Linked DNA regions of Elephas maximus indicus. The protein of the gene in region 2 interacts with the protein of the main gene of each other region in a pairwise test. Links are inferred from orthologs where the notes say so. Each region holds a gene or a part of one and is shown on either strand. Other genes may lie near its edges. The genes, in order: PRKRA and ADARB1.

What was found.
Region 1: the proteins of ADARB1 (region 2) and PRKRA interact in binary tests that used the Homo sapiens proteins (3 or more experiments, as listed by UniProt). The link is inferred for Elephas maximus indicus from reciprocal best matches to the Homo sapiens genes ADARB1 and PRKRA.

The regions. Positions count from the first base shown.
Region 1 is NC_064824.1:76,730,052-76,744,895, reverse strand, and holds the start of PRKRA (interferon-inducible double-stranded RNA-dependent protein kinase activator A), read left to right. Parts: upstream 1-8,994; 5' UTR 8,995-9,137; coding exon 9,138-9,202; intron 9,203-9,754; coding exon 9,755-9,924; exon of another isoform or gene 9,925-13,264; intron 13,265-13,769; coding exon 13,770-13,851; exon of another isoform or gene 13,852-13,901; intron 13,902-14,844. Other genes in the region: PJVK (pejvakin), read right to left, coding at 199-316, 1,430-1,571, 3,013-3,208, 3,941-4,151. UniProt on the Homo sapiens protein: Activates EIF2AK2/PKR in the absence of double-stranded RNA (dsRNA), leading to phosphorylation of EIF2S1/EFI2-alpha and inhibition of translation and induction of apoptosis.
Region 2 is NC_064820.1:229,721,084-229,736,258, reverse strand, and holds the start of ADARB1 (double-stranded RNA-specific editase 1), read right to left. Parts: upstream 5,841-15,175; 5' UTR 3,608-5,840; coding exon 3,508-3,607; intron 1-3,507. UniProt on the Homo sapiens protein: Catalyzes the hydrolytic deamination of adenosine to inosine in double-stranded RNA (dsRNA) referred to as A-to-I RNA editing.

The DNA.
Region 1 (14,844 bases), on a different chromosome or scaffold from region 2:
GAAAAGACAGTTTGGGAAATTAGGGAAGCAAGGACGTTTCCCAGCTACTTCACCCATGCAAAAGGCTGACAGTGCTGAGGGCATTGCTCTTCTATGAATTACCGACATTCAGAGACAGAAAAGAGTGAGATACAGAGCATTCAATTAAATTGGCAAAAATATATTCATTTCAGTGTTTGATGCAAATCGTTCACTCACCAAAGACACCATCCAGGTAAATGAAGAGTTCAAAAACACTGAAAGCAATGGTTGTATGTGCCGGAAAAACAATAGCTTTGTCTCGTCCTCTGGGATTCTGTTCATCCATAAAATGAAACTATAATAAGTAAATAAAATCATTAAGCATCATAACATGCAAGGATATTTTTTTTGAAAGATAAAACACCTACTACAATTCTACCCAGAAAACCTCCCCAAAACCAAAAAATGCCTCTCAAAGTAAAGAATGATTCTACTTGAATTACACTGTTTATAGCAGAGGTCCGCCTGAGACTCATGATCTGTATTAAAGAAATACCTCACCACTATCTCACTTACTTTGGTATTGGTGCCAATAGTATTAGTGCTACGACAATCAGAATGCTCTCTGGATTAGAAGTCTTTTTTTCTTCCAACTGCAAATGTTGGAAGGCAATTGTGTTAAGAGTTAAAATTGAAGCTTTTCAGCCCACTCTGTCTACTGTTTTCAAGGAAGACTATTTCAGCAGCTTTCCAAAGCAATCACCAACTTATTTTCAAGTTAATTTCAGTTGGTGCCTCCAAAATAATCTAATTTTAATCAGAATTTGGCAGGTAGCTGAATGTAGCTACTGAACAGAACATTTTTTGTGAAGACTTGAAAAATTTATCATGTAACCTATCTTTCTATCTGTTGGTTTTAATAAAGTCAATCAAGTCATTATTAGGTGTACTGACTGGCAAGGACAAACAATATCAAAATTGAGCTGAAAGTTTAACACAAATAATGTTCCAAGATTTTTAAAAAATGTTTTAATGTTGAATGAACAATATTTGGCCGCTGATAAAATTATTTTAGAATAATTATTTTAATTTAATGCAAAAATATAAATCAACTTTTAAAATTTCAAAGTATAAACTCTATCACTTAAAAAAAATTCAACTTGAGCAATTTTTATTCTTAAAACACCATTTGAACAGTAAAAAAAGAAGACCTCCAGTATGCACATTATTTTACAAGGATTAGTGTTTTCGTTGCATTAATATTACACATGTTCAGAATCCAAGTTTTTTGGACCTTTTTTTCGTATTCTGATACAAAAACTACTACTATGCAAAACCCTATGCAATTGCAGCTCTTTAATCTCAATATCTGTTCAAAATATATGCAGTCACAAGTGCCAATGGAAATTGAGCAATTTTCAAAAACTCTATTTTAGTTAGTGAGAGAAGCCTAATGCGTGTGGTTTACCCGCATTGATTCCCCACGGATTCCAGCATGTACAGACAGTGAGCACTGCCGTGTGGTTCGAATGCTTTCCATGACCACACACAGTACTGCCTTTCTGCTGCTCCTTGACTGACGTATTAAGCTGTGGTCACAATTAATTTTTCTAAAATAAAGAAGAAAGACATTCACAAGAACCAATAACATATAATTCCATAGAATGAGGGACAGTTTTTGCTATCCATTCACAGTCCATTTTAACTAAAAGTAAATCAAAGCAGAGAAGTGAAAGCAGGAACACACACAGACACATGCACACCAACGTTCACTGCAGCACTTTTCGCAGTAGCCAAAAGGTGGAAACAATGGAAACTCCATTAGCAGATCCATTAGAGGGTGAATGGATAAACAAATAATGTGGTACAACCATAGAATGGAATATTACTCAGCCATAAAGAGAAATGAAGTTCTGACAGCCACTACAACATGGATGAACCTTGAAAACATTACGCTGAGCTAAGTCAGTCACAAAAGGACAAATACTGTATGACCTCACTTACATGAAATTAACAAATATACAGAAACCAAAGGAGCCCTGGTGGTGCAGTGGTTAAAGCAATCGACTTTTAACCAAAAGGTCAGCAGTTTAAAACCACCAGAGGCTCCTGGGGAGAAAGATGTGGCAGTCAGTGTCCATAGAGAGTTACAGCCTCGGAAGCCCTATGGGGTCACTATGAGTTAGAATCCACACGATGGCAGTGGTTTTATAGAAACCAAAGCTTATTACTGGTTACCAGGGGAGAGAGGAAGGGAGGTGGAAAAGGGGTTTTTTTTGCATGGGTGGCACTGAGTTTACATTAATAGTGGTAGAATACTAGGACAAAGATAGGGATAAATAAGGGTTGCACAACATGGTAAATGTAACTAATGTCACTGAACTGTACATGAAGAAACTGTTGAATCGGTGGATGTATTATTGTGTATATTTGCACTACAATTCAAAAAAAAACAAAGGCAAATCAAGGAAAGCCTGAAAGAAATCAGAAAGTATGCTCAAAAGAAATTTAATACTCTGCCTCTCCTTTCTATTTTCTTAAAGTGTGTTTATTATAGGAGCCTCTTAGAGAGGAATCTCTTAGTATATTTGTTGCAGGCAGATTCCTGTATTCTTTCAGTCTAATAATTTAGCAAATGTGCACAGAGCCAAAGCAATTTTTTGGAACAATTAAAAATTCCCTAAGCTAAATGATTTTCAATATCTACCTTTATCCAAAGTTTGGAGCCCTGAGGGCACAGTGATTAAGAGCTCAGCTGCTAACAAAAAGGTCAGCAGTTTGAATCCACTGGCCACTCCTTCGAAACCCTATGGGGTAGTTCTACTCTATCATATAAGGTTGCTATGAGTTGGAATCGATTTGACAGCAATGGGTATGGTTTTTTGGTTTTTTTTTAATCCAAGACTTAGATACACTAATTTGCAGTGTTTCAAAAAAATGAACTACACTAGTAAAACACAGGCCAATGTTTTAAAATATTTTATAGTGAAGTTTATATAGTTAAAATATTTAATGGAAACGTTCAAATATATTAAGGATTATTATACTGACCGTGTAGTAATTTCCTTGAGTAATGTTGATACTTCCACTTCATGTTTGGTTACTACACCAAATGAAGCTTTTACTGCAATGGAATCTGATCCAGCGATATTAATCCCAACATCATTCACAATATGGTTGCCCCGCCTTCCATAGAGTGAAACATCTGACTCATCTTCATAATTCAGTAATTGATAAGATGAAATACCTTAAAGAAAAGGAAATTAGTATATTTTAAATGTCTTAAATCCATCTAAGGTAAATTACATTTAGTAACATGTTACTTTACAATTTAAGACTCAAAACACCCAAATGTTAATAAGGGCAACGATTTAAACCAAGATTTAAAATAGCAATTCAATTAATATGCCAATAAAAAGAAATAAACAGCCAGAATTCTTAAAATGAACTCCAATTCCCTCTTCAGTCAACAGAACTTCTTAAGCATAAAGACTCACTGGGTGGTTGAAATAAAGGCAAGTATTTATAAGAAATAATTTGTCAAAATGTCAACCTGTTTGTTTCTAACCTAGCCCATAAACATATTTTAGTTTACCATTGGTAATAACTGTATTGTAATAAATAATTACAAATTACTTACATCTCCAATAGTTCATTTGACTCTTTGAGGTAGGTAGACCAAATAATGCCCCCATAAATTTTTTTTTTTTCTTACAGTCTACATTAATTTGATTAAAACATCTTAGAAAATAATTCATAGATGTGGAAATTATTTCACCAATCAAACGAGATTTAATTCTTATATAAATTCCAGGCATCATTAGTCTTAGTATTATTACTACTATTGTAATAAAAGTTGCTTTTATCAATAAAAACGTGTGTTAGTATCACTAACACTAGTAATATATACAACCTGTGTTTAGGTTACAATTATACAGTTGAATGAGTAGTTAACTCCCAAACAGACATTTAAACTTACCAGCTGAAATTTCTCTGTCTCCTAGGAGAATGTCTTTCAGTGTAAAAGGTGTTGAGGTAAATTTATATCTAGGAAACAGAAAGCATCGCTTCTTTTTTACCACCAGACTTAGGGGTTGGTATTTGTCAGCTTCACTGAGGCTTGGAACAGGAACTAATCTCCCTCCATCTCCAACTTGCTTGACAAAGCTCTTGGTAGCAGCAGCAAACATATTATTAATATAAGATCAAAATGTCATCAACTATAACCTCCAGATAATAAATCCATATTTTCAAAGTAGAAAATCAGGCACAAAATTAAACCTAGCTTGATTTTAAATATATTTACATACATTAGAAATCCAAAGCATGGTTTTCACCAAGTAGTTTACCAGTGTAGAATTCACAACACAGCCTCCCCGCGTGCGCTGAGGTAATGAATTATAGATCAAAGTTGTAAAATGATATACCAAAAGCAAGTTTAATTTGGAATGGCAGTCTACGGCACTAAAATATATACAGAAAACTAATTATTTTAAAACACAACCAATGTTCTTGATTAGGGTCACATTTAGTAGTGGTTTGCAGGTACCAATGAGTGAGTTTTGAGATGAGCATATATAGCTCTATGGAAGATAATGCAATTTAGGCACTAACATTAGCCCTGGATACCAGCTACAGTGGACTTAGTCAAAAGGGAATTCCTTCATCCAATTTTGGCAACAGAAAATTGTATTGCGTTCTTATGATATATAGCCTATTGTTTTAGCATTTCCCATTCATTTCCCTTGTTGTATGCTGTGGCGCAGTGGTTAAGTGCTGGGCTACTAACCAAAAAGACAGTAGTTCAAACCCACCACCCACTCTGTGGCAGTCTGCTTCTGTAAAGACTGCAGGCTTGGATACCCTATGGGGCAGTTCTACTCTGCCCTGTCAGGTCACTATGAGTTGGAATAGACTCAATAGCAATGGGTTTATGTTACAAAACCAAGTACTTAATACTAAATACAAATTCACAGTATATAGTGGAACAATTGTATGCCAATCTTTAAAAAATACTAAATTAAAGAAACATTAAGTAACTGTATAAACCATACTACATAGAGATTTTTACTCAGAAGCTGGACACATGGATTACATCTCTTTGAAATATGATCCTGTTGCATTTATTTTCTTTTTGTCCCATCATTATCCCAGTTTCCCAATCTTTAATAGATTTGATGCATTGAACACTAATGACCAAAGACCAGACAGGTTGTGGAATGGCATCAAGGACATTATACACGAAGAAAGAAAAAGGTCTTTAAAAAGGCAGAAAAGACCAAAATGGATGTCAGAAGAGACTCTGAAACTTGCTCTTGAATGTCAAATAGGTAAGCCGAACAGATTTCAAAGGGTAGCTCAAGAAGACAAAGTGAAGTGTTACAATGAAATGTGCAAAGGCCTGGAGTTAGAAAACCAAAAGGGAAGAACATGCTTGGCATTTTTCAAGCTGAAAGAACTGAAGAAAAAATTCAAGCCCCTGGTTGCAATATTGAAGGATTCTATGGGGAAAATATAGAACATCGCAAGAAACATCAAAAGAAATGGCAAGAATACACAGAGTCACCGTACCAATAAGAGTTGGTCAACGCTCAACCATTCCAGGAGGTAGCATATGATCAAGAACGAATGATACTGAGGAAAGAAGTCCAAGCTGCACTGAAGGCATTGGCAAAAAACATGGCTCCAGATATTGACGAAATACCAACTGAGATGTTTAAATAAACACCAGGGCTGGAGGTGCTCGCTTGTCTATGCCAAGAAATTTGGAAGAGAGCTTCCTGGCCAACTCACTGGAAGAGATACATATTTGTGCCTATTCCAAAGAAAAGTGATCCAACAGAATGTGGAAATTATCAAACGATATCATTAATATCACGCACAAGTAAAATTTTGCTGAAGATCATTCAAAAGCAGTTGCAGCAGTACATCAACAGGGAACTCCCAGAAGTTCAAGCTGGATTCAGAAGAGGATGTGGAACAAGGGATATCACTGGTGATGTCAGATAGCTCTTGGCTGAAAGCAGAGAATACCAGAAAGATGTTTACCTTGTTTTTGACTACGCAAAGGTATCCGACTATGTGGATCATAACAAATTATGGGTAATATTGCCAAGAACGGGAATTCCAGAACACTTAATCATGCTCATAAGAAACCTGTACACAGACCAAGAGGTGGTCTTTCAAACAGAACAAAGGGATACTGTATGGTTTAAAGTCAGGAAAGGTGGGCAATAGGGTTGTATCCTTTCACCATACTTATTCAATCTGTATCCTGAGCAAATAATCCAAGAAGCAGGACTATATAAAGAAGAATGAGGCATCAGGATTGGAGGAAGACTCATTAACAACCTGCGATATAGAAATGACACAACCTTACTTGCTGAAAGTGCAGAGAACTTGAAGCACTTACTGATGAAGGTCATAGACTACAGCCTTCATTATTAATTATGGCTCAACATAAAGATAACAAAAATCCTCACAACTGGACCAATAAGCAACATCATGATAAACGGAGAAAAGATTGAAGTTGTCAAGGATTTCTTTTTACTTGGGTCCCCAATCAACACCCATGGAAGCAGCGGTCAAGAAATCAAACAACATATTGCATGGGGCAAATCTGTTGCCAAAAAACCTCTTTAGACTGTTGAAAAGCGAAGATGTCACTTCAACGAATAAGGTGCGTCTGACGAAAGCCATGGTATTTCAATTGCCTCATATGCATGGGAACGCTGGACAATGTATAAATGTCATGAATTGAATTATGTCCCCCCAAAAATGTGTGTATCAATTTGGCTGGGCCGTGATTCCCAGTATTGCGTGGTTATCCTCCATTTTGTGATTGTAATTTTATGTTAAAGAGGATTAGGGTAAGATTGTAACGTCCTAGGGTCTCATGCCTGATCCAACCTAAAGGGAGTTTCCCTGGGGTGTGGCCTGCACCACCTTTTATCTTACAAGGGATAAAAGGGAAGGGAAGCAAGCAGAGAGTGGGGGACCTCCTGCCATCAAGAAAGCAGTGTTGGGAACAGAGCGCATCCTTTGGACCCGGGTCCCCATGCAGAGACGCTCCTATCCTGGGGGGAAGATTGATAAGAAGGCCAACAGAGAGAGAAAGGCTTCCCCTGAAGTTGATGCTCAGAATTTGAACTTTTAGTCTACTTTACTGTGAGGACGTAAACATCTCTTTGTTAAAGCCATCCGCTTGTATTTGTTATAGCAGCACTAGATGACTAAGACAATAAAGAAGACCAAAAGAAGAATTAACGCCTTTTAATTAATGGAATATACCCCTGACTGCCAAGGAACAAATCTATCTTAGAAGAAGTACAGCCAGAATACTCCTTAGAAGTAAGGATGAATAGACTTCATGTCATGTACTTTGGACAGGTTATCCGGAGGGCTCAGTCCCTGGAGAAGGAAATCATGCTTGGTAAAGTAGAGGGTTAGCAAGAAAGAGGAAGACACTCAACAAGATGACTGACACAGTGGCTGCAATAAAGGTCTCAAGCACAACATCGATAGTGAGATGGTGCAGGACTAGTGTTTCCTTCTGTTGTACATAGTGTCGCTATGAGTCAGAACCGACTCCACAGCACATGACAATAACATAACAAGATTTGGCATGTTTTTAAGGAATGTTATGGAAACCCTGGCGGCTTAGTGGTTAAGAGCTACAGCTGCTCATCAACAGGTCGACAGGTCAGGTGCTCCTTGGAAACTCTATGGGGGCAGTTCTACTTTGTCCTATAGGGTTGCTGAGTCGGAATTGACTGACGGCAACGGGTTTGGTTTGGTGGTTAAGGAAAAATTTTATAAACAATAGTGTGGAAACATTGCATTACCATAGATGTAATGTAGACGTTAATGTATTGTGAAATAATGGCTATATGTTGCTCACAATAAGATAGTCATTAAAACATCTTAGTGAAACGTAACTAATAATAACGAAGTGGTAGAGAAGGAAGGAGAAAGAACAGGCTTAATTCAAGCCTCAAATAAAGAAAATCCATCTAGGATTCTGGACATTTTTTCATTTGCTTTCGAGTATCCAGGACTCACATGCAACTTAAAAAAAAAAAAAAGGGCTTTTAATAATGTCCCTTTGTGAGAACAGCATTGTGCAATTTTCCATTTTCCTTAATATAAAGTAAGCACAGGTAGTCATTTCTGCAAGGAGATACCAAACTCCTAGAGAAACAACGCATCTGTTGTCGTTGTCTGCCCCCTACCAAACGTGGCGCATCCCAGGCAAACAAATTAGATCAACGAAACAGGTCTGAGAAACTGCGTTTAATTGGAATCTTGTCCACAGAAAAGCCTCCGTTTACGCCTAACGTGCCTTGCCGGGGTCCGCTGGACCAGCATTTACCTCAGCGTCGCGACCAAAGCCTAGAAGACAAAGGAGCCGGCTCGGCGAGTGAGGGTCTCGGGAGGGCTCCACATTGCCTTAACAGCAGGGTTTGGGAGCCGGGGACGTCCACCGCAGCCTTCAGGGCCGGATCTCCCGCGAGGCTTGAGTCTCAAGCTTCGCGGGCAGGCCCAGGCAGGGGCCCTAGCACTACTGTATTTGGATTTTGAATCTTTTTCTTAAAGGACCCAGCCATCCATGCCGCAAAAATATAACAAAGCCTGAGCTTCAAGCCTCACAGACCCTGAGTCCGCCCCTGACAAAACCTCTCGCCGGGCAGGAAACGGCCTCCTTTTAAGGACAAAGAACCCGGTTACCGCCGGGCGGCGGGAGGGCAGGCGGGGCCAGGTGTGGAGTTGGACCTGGAGCCGCCGGAGGAGAAGGGTCAAGGGCGGGAGCCGAGAAGAGCCGGAATTGGAGCGGAGCAGGGTAGGAAGAGGGGAAGGGCGGGGCCGGGAGCCGGGAAGAACTACTAGCCGGGCGGGTCGGGCAAGGAGAAGGGTCGGGAGTTGTAGGAACGAGGGAGGCGTGGCCGGCAGCCGGGGACAGTGGGAGCCGTGCCGAGGCTCCGCCTCCGCCTCCGCCCCCCGCCCGCCCCCTCCCAGCAGGGACGCAAGCAGGGAGGGTGGGGGAGTGGGAGGCGGGGAGGAGGCGGCCGCGGCGGTTGGGGCGCTGGACCGCTCTTCTCGGCTGCCGGCCGACCCGGGGAGCGAGGACGTCGCTCCTCACCGCTCTTTCCCCCTCCGCCGACCCGTCCCTTCTCATCATGTCCCAGAGCAGGCATCGCGCCGCGGCCCCGCCGCTGGAGCGCGAGGACAGCGGGACCTTCAGGTCAGCGCCCGCTCAGCCAGGGCCGAGGCGGACAGGGCGGGAGGTGGTGGGGAGGGGAGGCCCTTCCGTGGCATTCTGGGTAAAGCCCCTTCTTGGCGTCCCGGCCCCTCCTCGCGGCTGCGGGCGGTGCTCGGGCGCTCGGCCGCGCCCACTCGGCGGCGCGCTGGCAGGCGTCTTAGGCCGGCCCCGCCCCCTTGCAGCTTGGGCGGTGCGCGGGGTGGGCGGAGGCGGCGCGCGGCCGCCACTTCCCGTAAGGGCCGGTCTCGGGTAGAGGGTTGCGGGCTTGGACCTGAGCCCCGGGCTCCGTCCTATTCCCCTGAGAACTCCTGTACTTGCGTTCAAGTTACCTCTCTAAAGACCTCCCACACTCTGTCCCGTGCCCGCCGCAGCGAGGCCGGGAAACAGGTGCACCCAGGCCTCGCCGGCTCAGGCTGCCAGGAAGCTGAGACGCCCCCCCATCATTGCTGGTGGCTGTCAGAACTGGCCTCTGTATGCGTCTGCTTCCCTCCACGCTTTGCCATGCAAAGCACACTTTTCTTCTGGTCTCTGCAGTTTGGGGAAGATGATTACAGCTAAGCCAGGGAAAACACCGATTCAGGTATTACACGAATACGGCATGAAGACCAAGAACATCCCGGTTTATGAATGTGAAAGATCAGATGTGCAAATACATGTGCCCACTTTCACCTTCAGAGTAACCGTTGGTGACATAACCTGCACAGGTCTGTATACACAGTTAACCCCTATGACCATGGGGGTTGGCAGCCAAGACTTGGTGTTGCTTTTCCGTTCAGAAAGGTGTTCTTTTTGCCAGAAACAGCTATGGGGAGAAGGCATTTTGAAACCGAGACACCTCATCTAAGGTCATTGGGACATTTCAACTTCATCTGATTTTCTCTTCTCTGGGATAGCAAGAGAAGCTCAGAAACGTAAAAAAAAAAAAAAGTTACTCAGGACTTCTGTACGGCTCCTTTCAGACCACAGGAATTAGGGAGAAGCAGGTTGGAGCAGCCATAGTTGGATCAGTAGGTGCTGTTAGGACCATTTTATAGATTATAGCAGATGCTAGAAGCCATGACCCCAGAATTTTCTGAGCTTCTCCCACTCTCTTTGGACTCATTTGGTGGTTTGTACCACACTCAATTCTGTATCCAAGCAAAATGAGAAGGGCAGAAGCTTCACAAAATCAGCAAATTATAGTTCCTGAAGTTGTACAGGTATTTTATATACAGTCTTCTTCTTTTTTTATACATGAGGAATCAGGTTTAGAGAGATTATAAGTAGTATGTCCAAGGGCACATAGCAATGAAGTTTCAGAGTTCATACAGACACCTTATAATAGTCTGTGAACTTGAACAAATGGTAGCTAAAGTTGTCCATCTGTGTGGACATTTTTTTTTTATCATGATCTATTTAATTGCAAACACAAAATGTTAAATACTAAATTTGAAAAAACACCAAGAAAAAAAAAATTCAGTAAGACTGAAATTCCACGATCTGGTAATCTGAAGGCATCATTTGTTTTTATTACCGGAAATCCGCTGTTCTCACTGAAGTTACTTTAAGAAAATCTTGAAGCTTTTTTTGTCTGTGTGAGGTAGGTGGATTGTTGGTGCTGGCTGGAAGGTTTCTTGGGTGAACCATAGAGTCAACATTTCATTACTGCTTCATCTCGTCTATTTTTACTCATTGAAAAGGTAGCCTTTTTTTCCCCCTCACTGTGGTTAATACCAGGAATTGACAACCTATGGCAACCATTCTGCCCACTAGCTTTTCTCTTAACACACTGCTTTGTCTTCCTGTACAGGGTTATCTGCCAACATGGCTTCAAATACTACCCAAAGCATAATTCTGAAATCTCTGCCTTCAGTCTAAGCCCAGTTATGAACAGTGTTATCAGCTGGTGTTTGGTAGGCATCTTCACTTGGATAATCCAAAGGCACTTCAAACTCTCACTGTCCCAAACTGAGCCCATCTTTTTTTCCCCCAAACCTATTCTCCCTGCACTCCCTATCTCAGTAAAGGCACCACCATCACCCAGTTGCTCACACCGGAGATTTGGATTTCATCTTCTTGACTCTTCCCTCTGTTGCTGGTCTAGTCTATAACCAAATCCTATCTCCTGAATATCTCTTGAATCTGTCTGTCTCCTTTTTCCCTTGTTACTATCCAGGCCACCTGGATTAGAGCTAGTCTCATTGATTCTCTTTCAGCTTCTAGTCTTGCAATGTCCAGATCATTCTCCACACTACAACAGAGTGTTCATCCTAGAATTCAGATCTGTTCCTATAACTTCTCTGCTAAAAATCCAGTTGATGGTTTCCCCATCCATAAATACAAATTTCATAGCATGGCTTACAACCTTGCTTCTCGAAGTGTGGTCAACAGCAGCATCAATAGTACGTGGGAGCTTGATGAAAATGCAGAGTGTCAGTCCCTCTCCCTGACCTTCTACACCAGAGTATGCATTTTAACTAAATTTCCAGGTGATTACTATGTACATTGAAGACTGAGAAGCACAAATTTACAAGATCGCTCTTTCCCCACCCCCAACTCTCTAGGCTTTTATCTCAAAATTTCCTCCCTCAAGCTCTCCTGTTTTAGCCATGTCCAACCTCTTGGGACTCTTGAGAACACGGTATTTTGTGTTGCCTTTAAGCCTTTCCAGATGGTCTTTTCTCTGCCTAGAATGCTCTTTCTAATCCCTGAGCTCTTTTCACCTTACCTACTTTTAATAATCTTTCAGGTTTCTGTTCTCTCTCTTCTGTGAAATCTTTCTGAATCCTTTCCAAGAGTAGAGCAGCTGCCCCTCTTGTGTGCTCCCCATACCCTCCACTTAGGCCTGCCTTACCACGCCATGTTTCACATGATTGATTACAGATGGAGTCCTGTATTTAGGCTGTGTTCTGTGTGCAGGATCCTCTGTACCCCTAATATCTGTGTTGGTGGATAAACGGATACGGTTTGTGTGCCCTGTTACACTTGAATGGTCACACTTGAAACCTTTTCCATGCCACCTTTTCTTCTCTCCATACCAAAGGAATGGATGTCAGCACTCTGCAGGTGTTCTCAACACCCAGTTTGGACTCAGAAGGAAAAAGATTAACCATTTACTAGGTATTGCTTACTTAAATTCAGACATCACCCTTAATGATTAGGCACTCTTATCCTCCCCTCCCTACCCATGTAAGGGATAGACATTGTATGGAATACACATAAGTAAACTATTACCTTCTGTATATAAACTTTCCCCCAGTATGCCCAGTGTGTAGTCGTGAGTGCTGAGGGATTTGATTCAGTATAGGATGGGCTGTCAAAATAAAATGATGCACATTTTCTGTCCAACAGTTCTGTTGCAAGTGGCTCCTTTAAAAGAAACTATTTGTTGCCATCCAAGAAATCAGTTCTTGCTGCAGAGAAAATTACTCCCTCCCCAAGAATAAGGGAAGAATACTAAATTGTATTGACATCGTCTACTTTATTACAATTTTATGCAGTAAATATAATGTAGAAATATTCCTACTCCTCACTTATCTTGTTTTCCAACATTTTGCATTTATGACAATAGTAAAAAATCTGCATTTTTGCATTAACATGTGTCTGGCAGTAATGAATGCTGAGGTGTGAGGTGAGAGTAACTGGCTGCAATGGTGTCAGGAGGGTTGGTGTCACCCAGCAGGGTAACTCATGCTGTCACCACGCCCCCACCCGCCCCCACAGACCTCCCATACTAGCCCCAGCCTGCACGGAGGAAGTGCCCTGGGCTCCCAGGAAGCGCCTCCCAGCGGTGGGTGCAGGTGCCCAGCTCCTAGCAGCTCCCAGCAGCGTGGAGTGGTGGGGGTGAGCCAGGAGGGCTGGTGACAAATCTGGGAATGGTGTAGTCGAGCAGGAAAGGCCCCCACCTGGGCCTGCACCCACTGCGCACTGAGTCCCTCCAGTGGGGCAGACTTGCCCAGCTCTGAGGAGCCATGCTCTGGCACCAGTCCCCGTGTTCCAGCTAGCTCCCAACCCAGCACGCCAGAGAGCAGGAGGAGGAGAAGACTAAGGGAGTAGAAGGAAAAGGTGAGAAGCAGTGGGGGAGGGGTTGGCAGCAAGGGGAGAGGAGGAGGGAAACTACAGCTAAGAGGAAGAAGGGGGTTGGAGCAGACCTGCTGTGGTGGGCGCATCACCTGTCAGGCACCACCTGTCAGGCCTAAGGCAAATGAAAGAGCGCCTGGGGTGCCCTGCATCCCCATTTCCCTGGTCATCTTCCTCACATAACACCAAGTGTTGCATAACAACCTGGTCTCTGGAACTGAACCATGTTGATAAGTGAGGAGTGGGGGTAACAATAATGGTTTTTATACAGGTATGCATAGAATTAAATATACAGAATTTTTAAAATTGTATTTTAATGTTTTTCATGTGGTATTTTATTACAGCGTATAACTGCATGTAATGTATGTTTTTATTACCTAGGGTATATATATAAAACCTGTACTGACTTTGTTTCGTATTAAGAAAACACCTATGGGTATAAAGAATTTTTTATAAAGATATCTTTTTTTTTTTTTAAACCTTAATTCAGGTGAAGGTACAAGTAAGAAGCTGGCGAAACATAGAGCTGCAGAGGCTGCCATAAACATTTTGAAAGCCAATGCAAGTATTTGGTGAGCTAAATTTCTTTGTATTCTGCAGCTCAAAAATATCAATGGCTGAGGTAAGATTCAAAGTTTGAACATACTTAAAAAAGCAACAAAGTGAACAATTGTTAGTATCTTAGCCCGGACATTCTATTCCTTGTTCAAATCTGTCATCCATTTAAAGACAACTTTACCTATAAAAAATTATGTCCAAAAAAATTGCACTGATTTAGGGTAGGGTTACACAGCCAGTTATTATAATTGCTGTCAATAAGTTGTATACCTGTAAAAGTTGAACTGGAAAAAGTTGTGTAATAGATATATTTACAACAAGAGGAGCTGTTGAGGCTACTTATGAACAACCAAACACCTCATGGAATTTAGTTCCCTGGTTTGGAGGTTTAGTCATAGTTTCACAGAACATCCCAGTTAACTGGCCTAATAACGTGTTTAGTACTTCTATCTCCTAGTTTGTTGTGTAGTGTCTAGCATCTTATAAACTTGCAAGTGGCCATCCAAGGCACAACAACTGGTCTCTAGTCATTTGGAGCAACAGAGGAAGAAGGAGAGTCAGGAACAGGAGGAACATATGGAATGTGTAGCTAGTTGTCTCCATGAACAACTGCCTCCTTTGTCATGAGACCAGAAGAACTGGATGGTGCCTGCCTGCTATTACTGAATATTTTGATCAAAGATTCCATGGAAGAAACCTGATCAAAAGGGGAAAAATGCAGAACAGAATTTCAAATACTCATGGACTCCAGACTTCCTGGAGCCATGAAGGATGAACCTGTGAAGCTGCTGCCCTAAGATAATCTTTAAAACTTAAACCAAAAATATTCCCTGAAGTCTTACTAAAACCAGTCATTTAGCTTAACTAGTAACAAATGTCTGCCTTGAACAATATGTTCTTTTAAGAACTACATGGGATCAAATTGACAACAGCAACTTGAAAGATTAGATAGGAACCTTAGGGGACAGTGAGTTTATGTTAATGAGGAGGGAGCAACTCAGAAAAGG
Region 2 (15,175 bases):
ATGGTGGATGGGTGGCTGGATGGGCAGATGGATGGTGGATGGGCAGGCAGGTGAGTAGGTGGATGGTAGATGGGCAGGTGGATGGTGGATGGATGGGCGGATGGTGGATGGGTAGGTGGATGGGCAGGCAGATGGTGGATGAGCGGGTAGATGGTGGACAGATAGATGCCACCCTATTCCTCCACTGTCACAGTGCTCCACACCTGCCAGGGAAGTACTCTCTCACAGATGAGAGTTGGGCTGAGTAGGTGGATGGTAGATGGGCGGATGGATGGTAGGTGGATGGTGGATGGGTGGGTGGATGGTGGATGGGGGGGTGGACGGTGACGGGTGGTTGGAGAATGGGTGGGTGGATGGTGATAGGTACATGGTGGATGGGTGGGTAGATGGTGATGGGTGGCTGGATGGGCGGGTAGATGGTGGATGGGTGGGTAGGTGGACGGTGGATGGGAGGGTGGATGGTGGACAGATGGTGGATGGGGAGGTGGACGGTGGATGGGTGGGTGGATGGTGGACAGGTGGATGGTGGATGGGCAGGCGGATGGTGGATAGGTAGGTGGATGGGTGGGCGGACGGTGGATGGGTGGGTGGATGGTGGACAGGTGGATGGTGGATGGGCGAGCGGATGGTAGATGGGTAGGTGGATGGGTTGGTGGATGGGTGGGCAGATGGTGGATAAGCAGGTAGATGGTGGACAGATAGATGCCACCCTATTCCTCCACTGTCACAGTGCTCCACACCTGCCAGGGAAGTACTCTCTCACAGATGAGAGTTGGGCTGAGACTGGGAAGAAGGCCACCCAACACCTGCCTGCATCACCACCACAAGCAGTGGCACCTTAAGATGGGAAGACTTAGGGGTCTGGATCTCTATGTCTTCCAAAGACTCCCCACACCCCCATTCACATGTCCGTCCTAGAAACGTGGGGTGCCTGACCTCAGACTGGAGCACACCCTGGAGGTGCTGCCTGCCCCACAGCAGTCCCCACACAGTATGCGGCATGGTCCGGCACCAACAGGGTCACAACATTGACTTGACATGAAAGCCTGTCACCTGGAAATCATGAAGCCACCTACACAAAACAGTGCAGGCGAAGGGGGGGCTCTGCACGTCGCCTCCTACTCTTCCACCTGCCCTTCCCAGCTCCCCATCACTGCTCATCCACTCAGCGGTCATGCTGTGACAGGAAGAGGGCTGCGACAGCTGCCCCTATGGGCGGGCTGGGTGCAGAGCACACCACACGTGTTGGGCCACTGTCCCGCCGTGGGACTGCATCGGCTCCCGGGCCGCAGTATCTGCCAGCGCAGCAGGATCTGCTCGGTGGAGGTCCTGCTCAATATTAAAGGAGCACATTCTTCTCTTTCTGCCATATTTTTCTGATGATTAAGCTAATTCCTCCGAGTCTCATACGAAGCCGACAGTCAATTACGTGCCCTGAGGAAGGGAGTAACTATGTGGATAATTCAGGGGTGATGAAAAATCACTGAAATTTGATTGTTACTAAAGCCGAGTAGAAGCAAATCACTTGCTACTCCATTGTTTTCAATAAATAATTACATAAAAGCGAGGCATACGTTATACCAGTCTTGGAAAGAACAATACACCCATCTGCAGCACCTTAAAATCGTACGATGCTAAAAATTATGTGTTAAATCTGGTAAAACTTCACCAATTTGGTATAAATGGAACGGTCAGTCTTAACAATATCCATAATTTTTAAAGGCATTTTTATTAGTTTCAAATATAGTGCATATTGTAAGAGTGGGTACCAACACACAACCCTGTCTTGTCTAAGAGCATTCACAATAAATTCACACCACATAGCAACGTCCAGAGAACAGAGTCATTTAAAACATGGACTTAACTGCTGCATCTTGTAACACACTGAGTGTAAGATGTTGGTCTGAAAATGCAATGTATGTAAGGAGGGTTTTTCTACTGGAGAATAAGATTCTGGAATTTGTACACAGTAGGGCTAATATGAGTCATCTGGATTATAGTAAAGGGGCTCTGGTGGCACAGAGGTTAAATGCTCGGCTGCTAACTGAACCCACCAGCTGCTCTGTGGGAGAAAGATGTGGGCAGTCTGCTCCCTTAAAGACGACAGCCTTGGAAACCCTATGAGGCAGCTCTACTCTGTCTTACAGGGTCGCTATGAGTCGGAATCGACTTGACAGCAACGGGTTGGATTATAGCGTGTGTGCCCTGGACACACAACACCAGAGGGCACAGTGCTGATGAAGATCCAAGGTTTGTGACCCCCAATGCCTGACACGAAGTTCCATTAAGTATAATTGTCTTTTGGCCTTTGTTATATTTATCAGGTTGGTTTTATCATATGATTGTTGACTGAGAAATTAATTTCTTCTTCCGTTTTTTTTAGGAAGCCACAGTAAAAACCAGCTAATTTTTATCTCCTGAAGGGATGTCTATCTCATGCCTCAGAACACCAAGGGGTGCTGAGGTGGTGAGGGACCTGGTCCAGGTCAGTCCTGTCAGTTGGGGACGGGGAGAGAAGGAGAAGGTAACAGCAAACACAGAGGCTAGACACTCAATCATCATGGCAAGACTGACTATTCCCCTAGCTAGAAGAATCTTTTCACCTAAGACGAAATTAATTTCCTATTAATTAATTAAATAATTTTTATATGAAGACAAGGAGCCCTGGTGGCACGGTGGTTAAGTACATGGCTACTAACTGAAAGGTCAGTGGTTTGAACCCATCAGCTGCGCTGCGGGAGAAAGATGTGGCAGTCTGCTTCCGTAAAGATTTACAGCCTTGGAAACCTACGAGGCAGTTCTACTCTGTCCAATAGGGTCACCATGAGTCGGAATCAACTCAACGGCAATGGGTATTTTTTTGGTTTTATAGGAAGGCAAACTATCAGCAGCTTTTAAAGCAACAATTCACCTCTAACAGCCAACAATGTGTAATTTTATATAGTCACGAACAACTTTTTGAATCTGGTTTTAAGAAAACATAGAGTTTAGTGTCTTAACACATCATGGTGAATTAAAAACTGAAATTAAATTAACCTGGAGCAGTGAATATAAGGAATATTCTCTGTTCTTTAAAAGGAAAATATTTTAACAATGGTTGCCACAATCTTACTTTCTACATTATAAAGAATAGTTTTAACATTAGGGAAGTCATTAATAGGGTGGCAGGAGAAAGGACAAATATTATAAAGCGTCTCTCTTGAGAGGGGAAAACCTTTTAATATTCAAAGCTACAAACTTCTAAGCTTTCATCAATATCTTTCTAAAAATACACTTTAAACTCCGAAGCTAGCATGATTTATGCACACGTTTATATGCATCTTTTTACAGTTTCCTTTTTAAGCTAGCCCCTCAGTCTCTTTAAGGTGCCAAGAAAAAAAAGAGAGACGCTTTAAAAGGGATGCTATGAAGTCACTGGCATCAGCAGGACTGCTAACTCACAAAAGCGGTCTACCCCAGAAATCAGCCCCTACTTCACATTTTCACCATAAAAACTAAACAAATTACCCTTCCTCTCCGAGCGTTTCTTGCGCCTCCTTTTAAATCGCCGCCCCATGATGCTGAAGAAGGTCCCCACATGTAAAGTTGCCGTGACAAGGGACGCCATGCCAACGAGCCGACCCCCAGCCACAGCCAGCCCAGCTCTCGGGCGCGTCCCTCAGTCACTGGGGCAGTCACACGGAGGCTCAGCGCTTAGCATGCCACCGCCGCCACAGCCACAGCAGCCCTCTGCCGGCACCCGGGTGGCACCCGGCACCCGGCACCCGGCACCCGGGAGGGAGCCAGCTCTCCCCCTCTGCCACAGGCGTGCTCCTCAGCTGCACAGCTGCTGGGCTGAGGGAGCGCAAACCACCAGTCACTTCCCGGCTGGCCGTGCCACCCAGAACGCGGCACGTGACAGTTAACCCTTCCACACCGCCACTCACAGAACACCACACGGAGAGGGAGGGGAGAGGTGCCCAATGCCTGGGGATCTTTCTAGGGAGATGGCCCACAGCAAACAGATCAAAGGCCTTAAAAAAGTCCTTTCTGTCTCCTTGAAAACAAAGTTCCTAATATAATGAAATTAAAGTGTCAACAAAAGAGTTTTACTGTTTAAAAAGTAAGAGGCTGTCACGCAAGGCAGCCGGTGGGATGAATCCATAGAAGGGTGTTGCTAATAAAGCCCCCAGAAGGACAAGCACACCGCACTTCCAATGGCGGCCCCTGCTGACCGCCCTCCTGGCAGGGCGCTCCCTCCTTCCCTCCCTCCTCCTTGCCTGACTCAGGCCCTGTGGTGACTTGCTGGGGTCCCTACTTCACTGCAGGGATACCGCCTACTCCGGGGGGTTATGAGCACCCAAGGGGCAGAGGCTAAGACTGAAACCGCTCCTGTGCTCCACAGCGTCTGGCAGACGGACCAGGCAGCCTGGGCCCTCATCTCTCTCACACACACATGCTCGCTCTCACACGTTCTCTCTCTCACACACACATTCCCTCTCACACACACACATTCCGTCACACACACACATTCTCTCTCACACACATTCTCTCTCACACATTCCCTCACACACACACATTCCCTCACACACACACATTCTCTCACACACACATTCCCTCTCACACACACATTCTCTCTCACACATACACATTCTCTCCCACACACACATTCCCTCTCACACACATTCCCTCACACATTCTCACACACATACATTCTCTCTGACACACACATTCTCTCTGACACACACATTCTCTCTCACACACACATTCCCTCTCACACACACTCCCTCACACACATTCTCTCTGACACACATTCTCTCACACACACATTCTCTCTCACACACATTCTCTCACACACATTCTCTCATACACACATTCTCTCTCACACACACACATTCTCTCACACACATTCTCACACACACACATTCTCTCTCACATACACAGTCTCTCTCACACACACATTCTCTCACACATTCTCTCTCTCACACACACATTCTCTCTCCCCCACACACACTCACTCACACACGCCTCATGGAGTACTCGAGTACCTTTGTCACTTGGGACCCAGCCCATTGTGCCGGCACAGCACAATCCATAACCCTCAACGCCCTCTGTCTAGACTAACACAGCTCCAGCCCCAGGGAGACCCTCCCACATCTCCTGTCATATGCTCCTAAACAAAAGTTAATTGTACACAAGTGCTCTGGAGCCCGTGGGCTGTCTTGCTGCTGATCTTGCCTATGGGTCATGCTTCAGGTTACACTGAGGATTTGAGTGGCACGTGCACTGAGGTGAAAGAAATGACAAATGAACTAACCTGTCAAATCCTTCCTCTCAGCATGATGTACTCTTATTTTACATAACACGGTACCATTTCCCAGTAATGTCCCCCGTCTGTTTTCCTATTTATTATTCCTAAGGTACATGCATTAGCGCAACAGTCACACAATTGTACATGGTGATCGAGGAATATTTTGTCATATTAAGTAATTCATTAAAAAAAAGCCCAACTGCCTCATGGCAATCCCATGTGGGTCAGAGCAGAACTGTGCTCCATGGGGTTTTCATGGCCGTGATCCTTCAGAAGTAGATTGTCAGATCTTTCTTCTGAGGTACCTCTAGGTGGACTCAAACCTCCAACCTTGCAGTTATCGGCTGAGTGCATTCACTGTTTGTGCCACTCAGGGACAAATGATTCATATTGCTCCTAAATTTGTATGAGAGTGTGTGTGAAGGTCTAGACATACCGGGCGTAAACCATATGATATTGATGCTCTGTGCTGGCAACCAGACGGACATCAAACACCAGACCTGTCAATAGTTTTATTTTTATATATTTATATTAACATATAACACTAATTATAAACAATATGTTAATTGTTAATATACAAAATTATTGATATTAAATAGTATTAACATTAACTTAATAAAAATTTCAAGGTGTTCAATTAAAATTCAGCTTTAAATAATTTTAAAACTGTGATATTACTCAAAAGAAAAAGTCCTCTAACTATGTTAGAGAACAAACAAGAAAACCTCTCTGGAACTACTTTGTATTGGAGCCCTGGTGGCGCAGTGGTTAAGAGTTTGGCTGCTAATCAAAAGGTCAGCAGTTTGAACCCACCAGTCATTCCTTGGAGACCCTATGGGGCAGTTCTACTCTGTCCATAAGGTCACTACGAGTTGGCAACCGGTTTGGTTTTGGTTTTATAGGCATCTTTATTAACAATTCCCTTGCAAGGAATCAAAATAAGTTAGGTACATAACCATGGGAAACGACCAGTGGTTAACCAGGTCTAGAGGACTGAAGATTGGCCAAAGCTTAAAAAAATCATCACATTTTTAAAAACTCACCCCGCTAAATAAGAATGCCTTGTGCAATGTCCCTGTCGCCAGTGCAGGCGCCCCGCCCCCAGGAGATGCAGGTGCCGGTCGGGGCGTGAGGGCTGCCAGGAGAAGCCACATTTGAATTTCAAAGCAAGGCCCCAGGGGTCTCCTAATGGGGACTGAACCAAGGAAGAAGCAATTTGAAAAATGGAGCTGAAACTTCCAGATCTCATCCAGGATAAATAGTTTAACAAGAGTTTCAAGCAGTCCAGATCAAACCAATAGCAGTTTAAGGTAAAAAGACAAATTATAAAAAGTTATCTTGACTCTGGATTCTTTAGGATGAAATTACTGAGGAATAATCGAAGGCTTAAAAAATTCAGGTGAAAAGAAGGAACCTCTCCCCAGTGGCTAGATACTCTCAGGTTAAAAAGAGGGAAAAAAATCTGTGATTTCTCTACATCGGGGCTTTGTTTGAGTTTTGTTTCTAGAGGAGGCTAAGCTTGATGGGGGGCCTTCATCTCTGGGACAGCCTCCATTCACATTCACACCACATCTTTGCAAATGGCGCAGCCAAGTGGAGCCACTCCCAGGAGAGGCTGGCGTGTCTCTGCGCCCCCTGCTGGCTCTTGAAGGACTTGTCCGGGGTGGGCTCCAACCAGCTGAAATCAAGGGCTGGTTTTATGGCTTTGGGATTTCCTATTACGGAGTTTCCCAACCAATACACAAGTGATGACTGCCCCTTTCTTTGAAATGAGAAAATTCTAATTTCTCCATCATAACCCAAAAAAGACAACAACGTTCTACATCTAGCCACATGGCAAGTTATAAGTATATTCATGGAAAGAAAAACTTTCAAAGTATACATATACTCCTATCTTTAAAATTTCCAATTGTTTAAATCAGATAAATCAGAATCCATAAACCTGATAAGCCAAGAGACGTAACAAAAGGATATTTGGATTTGTTTGGCAGCCTCTCACTGGGTCCTTTTCAGAAGCAAACGGCACCGGTGAGGATACGACCCTGTAATGTGGCCACAAAACCCTAGTATGTGCATAGCTTTTCAGGAGTCCATCAAATCTATCAAATAAGATAATACTGTCAGTGAAGATACATGAGCACCACCATCTTCAGTTATACATTCATAAAAAATTAACTGGGGGTTTACAGTCTATGGAATTTTCAATCATCTCGTGCACATGGGAAAGCTGGACAATGAAAAAGAAGGCTGAAGAACTGATGCATCCGAATTGTGGTACTGGCAAAAAATGACTATACCATAGACTGTCAGAAGAATGAACAAATGTGTCTTGGAGGAAGTACAGCCAGAATGTTCTTTAGAAGTGAGGAAGGCAAGGCTATGTCTCACTTACTTTGGACATACCATCAGGACTACCAATCTCTGGAGAAGGACATCATGCTTGGTAAAGTAGATGGTCAGTGAGAGAGAGGGAGACACTCGATGAGATGGACTGACACAGTGGCTGCAACGATGGGCTCAAACATACCAACAATTATGAGGATGGCACAGGACCAGGCAATATTTTGTTCTGTTATTGTTGGGAGTTGGAGTTCGAGTTGGAGTTGACTAAATGGCCAATAACAACAGCAAATATTGTGAAAGATGTCACAGTGAGTTTGTTAAGAGAACTTGCACTGGGCTCATCCAACATCTGTGCGTCTGTCTTGTGTCAAGGCCACCGTGGAGTCATTGATCCAGCACATTTCTCAACACTTCTTGGTTCAATAAGACCAGGTCCACTTAGGTTCCTGCTAACTAAAACACACGTAACAGTCTCTAAAAGACGTGCTCGTTTCCTGACCATAATGTTGTACAATCTCACTTGATGTTGGCTCTACGTTAACATAAAAAATTAGATAAAAGTGGCAATGCCATATATTTTGCCTTCAACTAATAATCACATTGTGTTTTCCTCATCAAATGACGCAACCCAATGCACCATAAATCTTCCCAACATGATGTACACTTTATTTGTTCTTTCCTGAAAGAGCAATTTAGAACCTGCCAGCATGACAAAGCGAAGGGCACCCTCACTGTGGTAAATCTGGGGCTGTGAGCTGTAGAGGCGCACCAATGGAGCAGCCCCTTCTCAAGGCACATTAATTTGTTTTAGAGTCATTCCAATTAAGTTACCAGAGTTGAGGTGGTGTCCTGACTCTGTATCTCTATCCTTTCCTGCTTCAGTTCTCCCTGCTTCCTCCTTTCACCTTTAGGGTTTGTCTTATTCATCTAGTGCTGCTATAACAGAAATACCACAAGCGGATGGCTTTAACAAAGAGAAAGTTATTCTCTCACTGTCTGGCAGGCTAGAAGTCCGAATTCAGGGCACCAGCTCCAAGGGAAGGTTTTCTCTTTCTGTCAGCTCTGGAGGAAGTTCCTTGTGATGCAGCCACCTTCCCTTGGTCTGGGAGCATCTCAGCACCTCAGGTCCACAGGATGCGCTCTGCTCCCAGTGCTGCTTTCTTGGTGGAATGAGGTCCCCATGTCTCTACTCACTTCTCTCTTTCATATCTTAAAAGAGATTGGCTTAAGACACTATCTAATCTTGAAGGACTCATCAGCGTACATGCCACTAATTCACCTTATTACATCATAGTGATAGATTCACAACACCTAAGGAAATCGCATCAGATGACATTACCTAGTCAAGCTGACAGATATTTTGGGGGGACAGAATTCAATCCATGACATTCCACCCTTTGGCCCCCCAAAATTCATGTCCTTGCCACACATAAAACATCTTCAACCCATCATACCAGAGCAAAAGTCTTAAATCAGCTGCAAGCCCAAAATCTAAAAATTCCTCTTCATCTGCAAAATCCAGAATATAAGTTATCTGCTTCCAAAGTACAATGGCAGAACAAGCACAAGCCAGACATTGCCATTACAAATGGGAGAAATTCGAGAGAAAGAAGGCATAACAGGCACAAGCAAGTTAGCAGAACACATTACATTAGCCCTCAAGCCTTGAAAATAATCCTCTGTTCTCTGAGACCATGTACACAATAGCCCTGCCCTCCAGACTCTAGGTACTGGCCGCACTCTCCAGATTCTGAGTGGAGGCCCCTCGGCCCTGGGCTTCAGCTCCACCTTCCAGGCCCACTGAGATGGCAACTCTGCTCTCTTGGCTTCAGGCACACCATTCTCCTAGTCCATCTAAGCGAAAACTCTACCCTTAGAAAACCAGAGGCCATGGATCCGCCCTCTGAAACCCCAGAGGTCCCGGCCATACCTTTTGAGACTAAGTTAGCTTGGCTTCCTGTGTTCTTGTCTCTTCAGCTTCTGCTTCCTTGTTTCTTGGCCTCTCGGCTCCTCGGGCCTCACGCCCACATCTGTCCTGCTGGGGCAGGTGTTCCAAAGCTCTGCAGATCCACCAATAAGTGCCTGGAGGCACCCCACTCCGCCAGTAAACTTTGGCCCGAAGGCACTCAGCTCTCTCGCTCCAAGGGTCAGCAAGCCTAGCTCCAGGGCCAAGTCCCCAGAGGCAGCCCACTCTGCCAGGAAGCCTCCTGCGCACAGGCGCTCAGTTCTCTTGCTCCATGGGTTGGCTCCAGAGCTGTCTGGCGCTGGTCTGCTGATTCTGCTATTGCCGGTTCGCTGCTCCTGCCACCAGTCCTCTGCTGCTGTTTCTCACCATCTGCACCTTCTCCAGTGTTAACAGTTCTCCTCATCTCCCTGAGTCTTCTATCCATTCACAGCTTCAAAATCACTTCCATGGTTTAGGTGTCAGTTAGAGCAGCACCCCACTCTCGCAGCACCAAATTCTGTCTTAGTCATCTAGTGCTGCTATGACAGAAATGCCATAAGTGGATGGCTTTAACAAAGAGAACTTTATTCTCTCATAGTCCAGTATGCTACAAGTCCAAATTCAGGGTGCTGGCTCCAGGGGAAGGCTTTCTCTGTCTGTCGGCTCTGGGGGAAAGTCCTTGTCTGGGAGCATCTCAGTAGGAACCTCAGGTCCACAGGATGCACTCTGCTCCCCACACTGCTTTCTTGGTGGTATGAGGTCCTCATGTCTTTCTGCTCGCTTCTCTCTTTTATATCTCAAAAGAGATTGGCTTAAGACATTACCTAATCTTGTAGACCTCGTCAGTGTAACTGCCACGAACTCATCTTATTACATCATAGTGATAGGATTTACAGCGTTGGAAATCATATCAGAAGGTAAAATGGTAGACATTCATGCAATCATACAAGGAAATCACGCCCTAGTCAAGCTGACAGATATTTCTGGGGGACACAATTCGATCCATGACAGGATTATTTAAGAGAAACATAAAGAGGATGCTTGTGTCCAGGAGAATGGAGGAAGTCACAGCAAATGATTAAACTGACAAAGGTTACTGTTTAAAAATATTTTAAAGCCCTTTTTTTTTCCAATTTTAAAAGTGCACCTGTTTGCTACTTCAGTCGGCTATCTTTGCAAGTTAATAAGGACATATAATTCTAGCAGAATGTCAGAAGTAGCCATTCGCCATTTAGCACTGACATTCCAGGTACCTAGTGAATTTCCACCACCGGTCTGCTAGTTTGTCATACTGCGTACCTTCCATGTTGTTGCAATGCTGGAAGCTACGCCATTGGTATTCCAAAAACCCATGATGAACAGATTCCAGTGGAGCTTCCAAACTAAGACAGACTAGGAAGAAGGGCTTGGAGACCTACTTCCAAAAATCAGCCAATGAAAACCTTACGGATCCCAATAGAACACTGTCCAACTCACTTGCTTTGGACACATCAACAGAAAGGAGGACATCACGCTTGGTAAAGCAGAGGACCAGCCAGGACGAGAGAGATCCCTGATGAGATGGACTGGCACAGTGGCTGCAACAATGGACTCAAATATGCTGGCAATAGTGAGGATGATGCAGGACCGGGCAACATTTTGTTCTGTTACACATGAGATCACCATGAGTTGGAGCTGATTCGACTGTCTCTATCTATCCATCCAGTTAATTTTATTTTTACCTGTCCTCAAAGTAAAGACTCCAAAATTTAATGTTCTGAGAACATTCAGTTAAGATAAAACTCTTAAAAAGTATTTTTCTACTCTTAAAATAAGAAAAAAAGATGCTTACCCACTAGAATTCTAAACTCTCTAAATGATCAGGTATTCACTCATTGGTTATTTAAGAATAGTCAACACATGGGAAACCGTGACATTACTTAATGTCATATTGAAGTGCCTCAGAAATGTTTGTTAATAACAAACATAGCAAATACTCATTCCTCCAACTGACACTGAGTGGGTACCTACTGTATACCAGGCACTGTCCTAAGGGTTTGGGATACATCTGTGAACAAACAGACAAAAACCTCAGCTTTCGCAGAGCTTATATTCTAGCAGGAGAAAGACCGTCAGTGGTAAGCATAGACATTAATTACATCACGCTGTGTGTCAGAGATGACAGGCGCTGTGCTAGGAAGAGGACTTGAGTGGGTACCAGGCAGGAGGCAGCAGTACCAGCTTGGTGAGAAGCTGTGATGAAGCAGAGCCCCTGGGTGGTAAGAACGTCAGCCATGACAGTGCCTGGGGGAGAGCATCCTGGGAGGGGACAGAAGGACAAAGCCCCTGAGGCAGAAGCAGCAGCAGCAGTGTGCCTGGCATCTTCCAGGAAAGGCTGCAAGGCCGGAATGACTGCAAAGGAGTTGGCAGGAGAGACAGGAGGGAAGAGAGGTGGCCAAGGGGCCCCGAGGTGCAGACACGTGGGGTCTCCTAAGCCACTGTAGGACTGAGGTGATCACTCTTAGGGTACAGACCACCTCAGAGCTTTGAGCAGAAGGGATATGGCCTAACCTGCTTTTGAAAGGAGGTGCTGACCACTGGTGAGGACAGATGTGGGGATGAGGGCTGAAGAAGGGAAGAGCCGAGCAAGCAGCAGGAAGTGGCCACATTCTGAATGTCGAAGGTTCAATGTCAGGGTAAGAGAGGAACAACCCCGCAGCTTCTGAGCACTGGAAGATGGGGCAGCTGACGGGAAACGCTGAGGTTAAGAGCAGGAGTTGGGCCTGTCGTCTTCCAGTGGAGATATCTGTGAGCTACCCGAGGAGATGCTAGAAGGACGCAGGGTCTGTGTCTGGGGTGCAGCCTGGCTAAAGACCCACAGCTGGGCTCAATGGCACCAGGGAGAGTGCGAGAGGTTGCTGGGGAATGAGTAATAAAGTGACAGAGACAGATAAGCCCAAAGACTGACGCCTGACACTGCAGCTGCCGGAAGAGGAAGCTAGAGGCGGGGGAGCCACTGAGGCCAAGTGCTCAGTGGGAGCTGATAATGTGACCATGGCCACGAGTCAGTTCACTGAAACCTCACTGAAGTCAGCAAAGTGGATTCTGTACTGATGGCATGAGGGCACGTAGACACGCCACCATGTTTTCACAACTGTCACTCAATGAAACCTCACCACGGCCTGCAAAGTGGGTTCTGTACAGACTGCGTGAGGGTGTGTGGACACGCCATCATGTCTTCACAACCATCAGGGATACTGTTCACAACTGAGTCCTCGTGAGAGGAGCTATGCCCTGCACATAATGGGTGGCTACACCCCGTGACCACAACTACAGTGCCACGGGGCCTCAGGCAAGTTTCTTCTCCTCTGCCCCTCAGACTCCTCATCTGTAAGTCATGATGACAGTTACGCACGCCTACCCCTGCTCCACCCCCTGCCCCCATGCAGTCCTCTTCCCAGCACGTTCCTGTTGTCTCTGACACACAGCATAATGTAACGTCTGCTCCGGGCACCGCTGATGGTCTTCCTTTGCCTTGCTAGAATACAAGCTCTGTGAAGGCAGAGGTTCTTCTCTTCAGGTGAGGACAGGGTAGGTGCCACCTGAGTTTCCGCTGCTATGGTATTTTACCGCTTTATAAAGAGGGGACTGGTGGGTGAAGGGGTTACGTGGCCTGCCCAAGTCCCATGTCCGATGAGTAGGAGGACTTGCTGGAATCCAGGGTGCACCAGCCTAGAACTGAGCTCACCCCACTCTGCAGGGCTGCCCCATTAAAGCAAAAACACTACTGCCAACATTATATATTTTTTAATATATTCAGATTCTTTATAAGTAAAAAAAAAATACACCAATTCTTCAAACATTCTATTTCCCATCAGCCCAGAACGATCACAGTTTTCAGCCCGCCTGCAGCATCCTTCAACTCACTCACGATAAGGAATTCAATTAAGCTTTTTGCATTTTCATTTAAGATGACTTCACCCAGGAATTTTCAGTCAAAAATCCAAATGTACGTGTCTCAGATGAGTGCTGATTTTGAAAGGCAAAAAGTAACATATTTTGAATCCTGGAATGGCTAGGATTTTTCCTCAAGGGCAAGCAATCTCAACCTTCTCCTGTTTGTCAGCCAAGCTTCCTCAGGATTTATGAACAAAGGATACAAAGTGACACCTGGGTTATGTGATCCTAAAACGAAACATTAGACTAAAGCAGTGGAACCATGACATTATTTTACACATAAACTTTAGACCCTCAAGAATTTTTTTAAGAAGTATATAAGATGTACAAAATTGTATCTTCCAATTCCATAAAAAACAAAATAAGCCAGCCCATAATTTATTATAGTTAAATTTATAAATTATTTTGATAAAATTTAACTTACAAGTCCTATCACTCACTGAGGATCCCTGGTGGCATAGTGGTCAAGAGCTCGGCTGCTAGCCAAAAGGTCAGCAGTTTGAATCCACCAGCTGCTCCTTGGAAATCCCATGGGACAGGTAGCTATGAATCGGAATCAACTCGAAGGGAACAGATTTGTTTTTTGTTTTAATCATTCACTGAATTAAACCAGCTGTAGGTATTTCATACCATTGCCTCTTGGGTACTTTAAAAGGGTTAAAATAAAGCCAATTAACAGAAATTACAGAACTCATTGAACAAAGCCAGAATCTCAGCGCACATTAGGAATGCGTGGAAACTTGTATGATGTGAAACGAAGTTTTTCTTCGCTGCAACACAGTATGCCATCTAGCCTACTCTTTGTCTTAGATGCTAAGCTACAGCACCACCTACCGTTCTAAAGGAGTTCATCAAGCCTCCAAAAGACCAAAGTTGGAAGTCCGCCAGATGCTCATAGCCAGACACTCACAGCTGGGCCTTGTGTTCTGGGAGCCAGCCTGGCCCTCACAGCCGGGTCTGGTGTTCCGGGAGCCAGCCTGAGCTCACACTGGGCCTGGCCCTCACAGCTGGGCCTGGTGTTCTGGGAGCCAGCCTGAGCTCACACTGGGCCTGCTGTTCCAGGAGCCAGCCTGGCCCTCACAGCTGGGCCTTGTGTTCCGGGAGCCAGCCTGGCCCTCATAGCTGGGCCTTGTATTCTGGGAGCCAGCCTGAGCTCACACTGGGCCTGGTGTTCCAGGAGCCAGCCTGGCCCTCACAGCCGGGCCTGGTATTCTGGGAGCCACCCTGGCCCTCATAGCTGGGCCTGGTGTTCCGGGAGCCAGCCTGAGCTCACACTGGGCCTGGTGTTCCAGGAGCCAGCCTGGCCCTCACAGCTGGGCCTGGTGTTCCGGGAGCCAGCCTGGCCCTTACAGCTAGACCTGGTATTCTGGGAACCACCCTGGCCCTCATAGCTGGGCCTGGTGTTCTGGGAACCAGCCTGAGCTCACACAGGGCCTGGTATTCCAGGAGCCAGCCTGGCCCTCACAGTTGGGCCTGGTGTTCTGGGAACCAGCCTGAGCTCACACTGGGCCTGCTGTTCCGGGAGCCAGCCTGGCCCTCACAGCCGGGCCTTGTATTCTGGGAGCCACCCTGGCCCTCACAGCCAGGCCTGGTGTTCCGGGAGCCAGCCTGAGCTCACACTGGGCCTGGCCCTCAGAGCTGGGCCTGGTATTCTGGGAGCC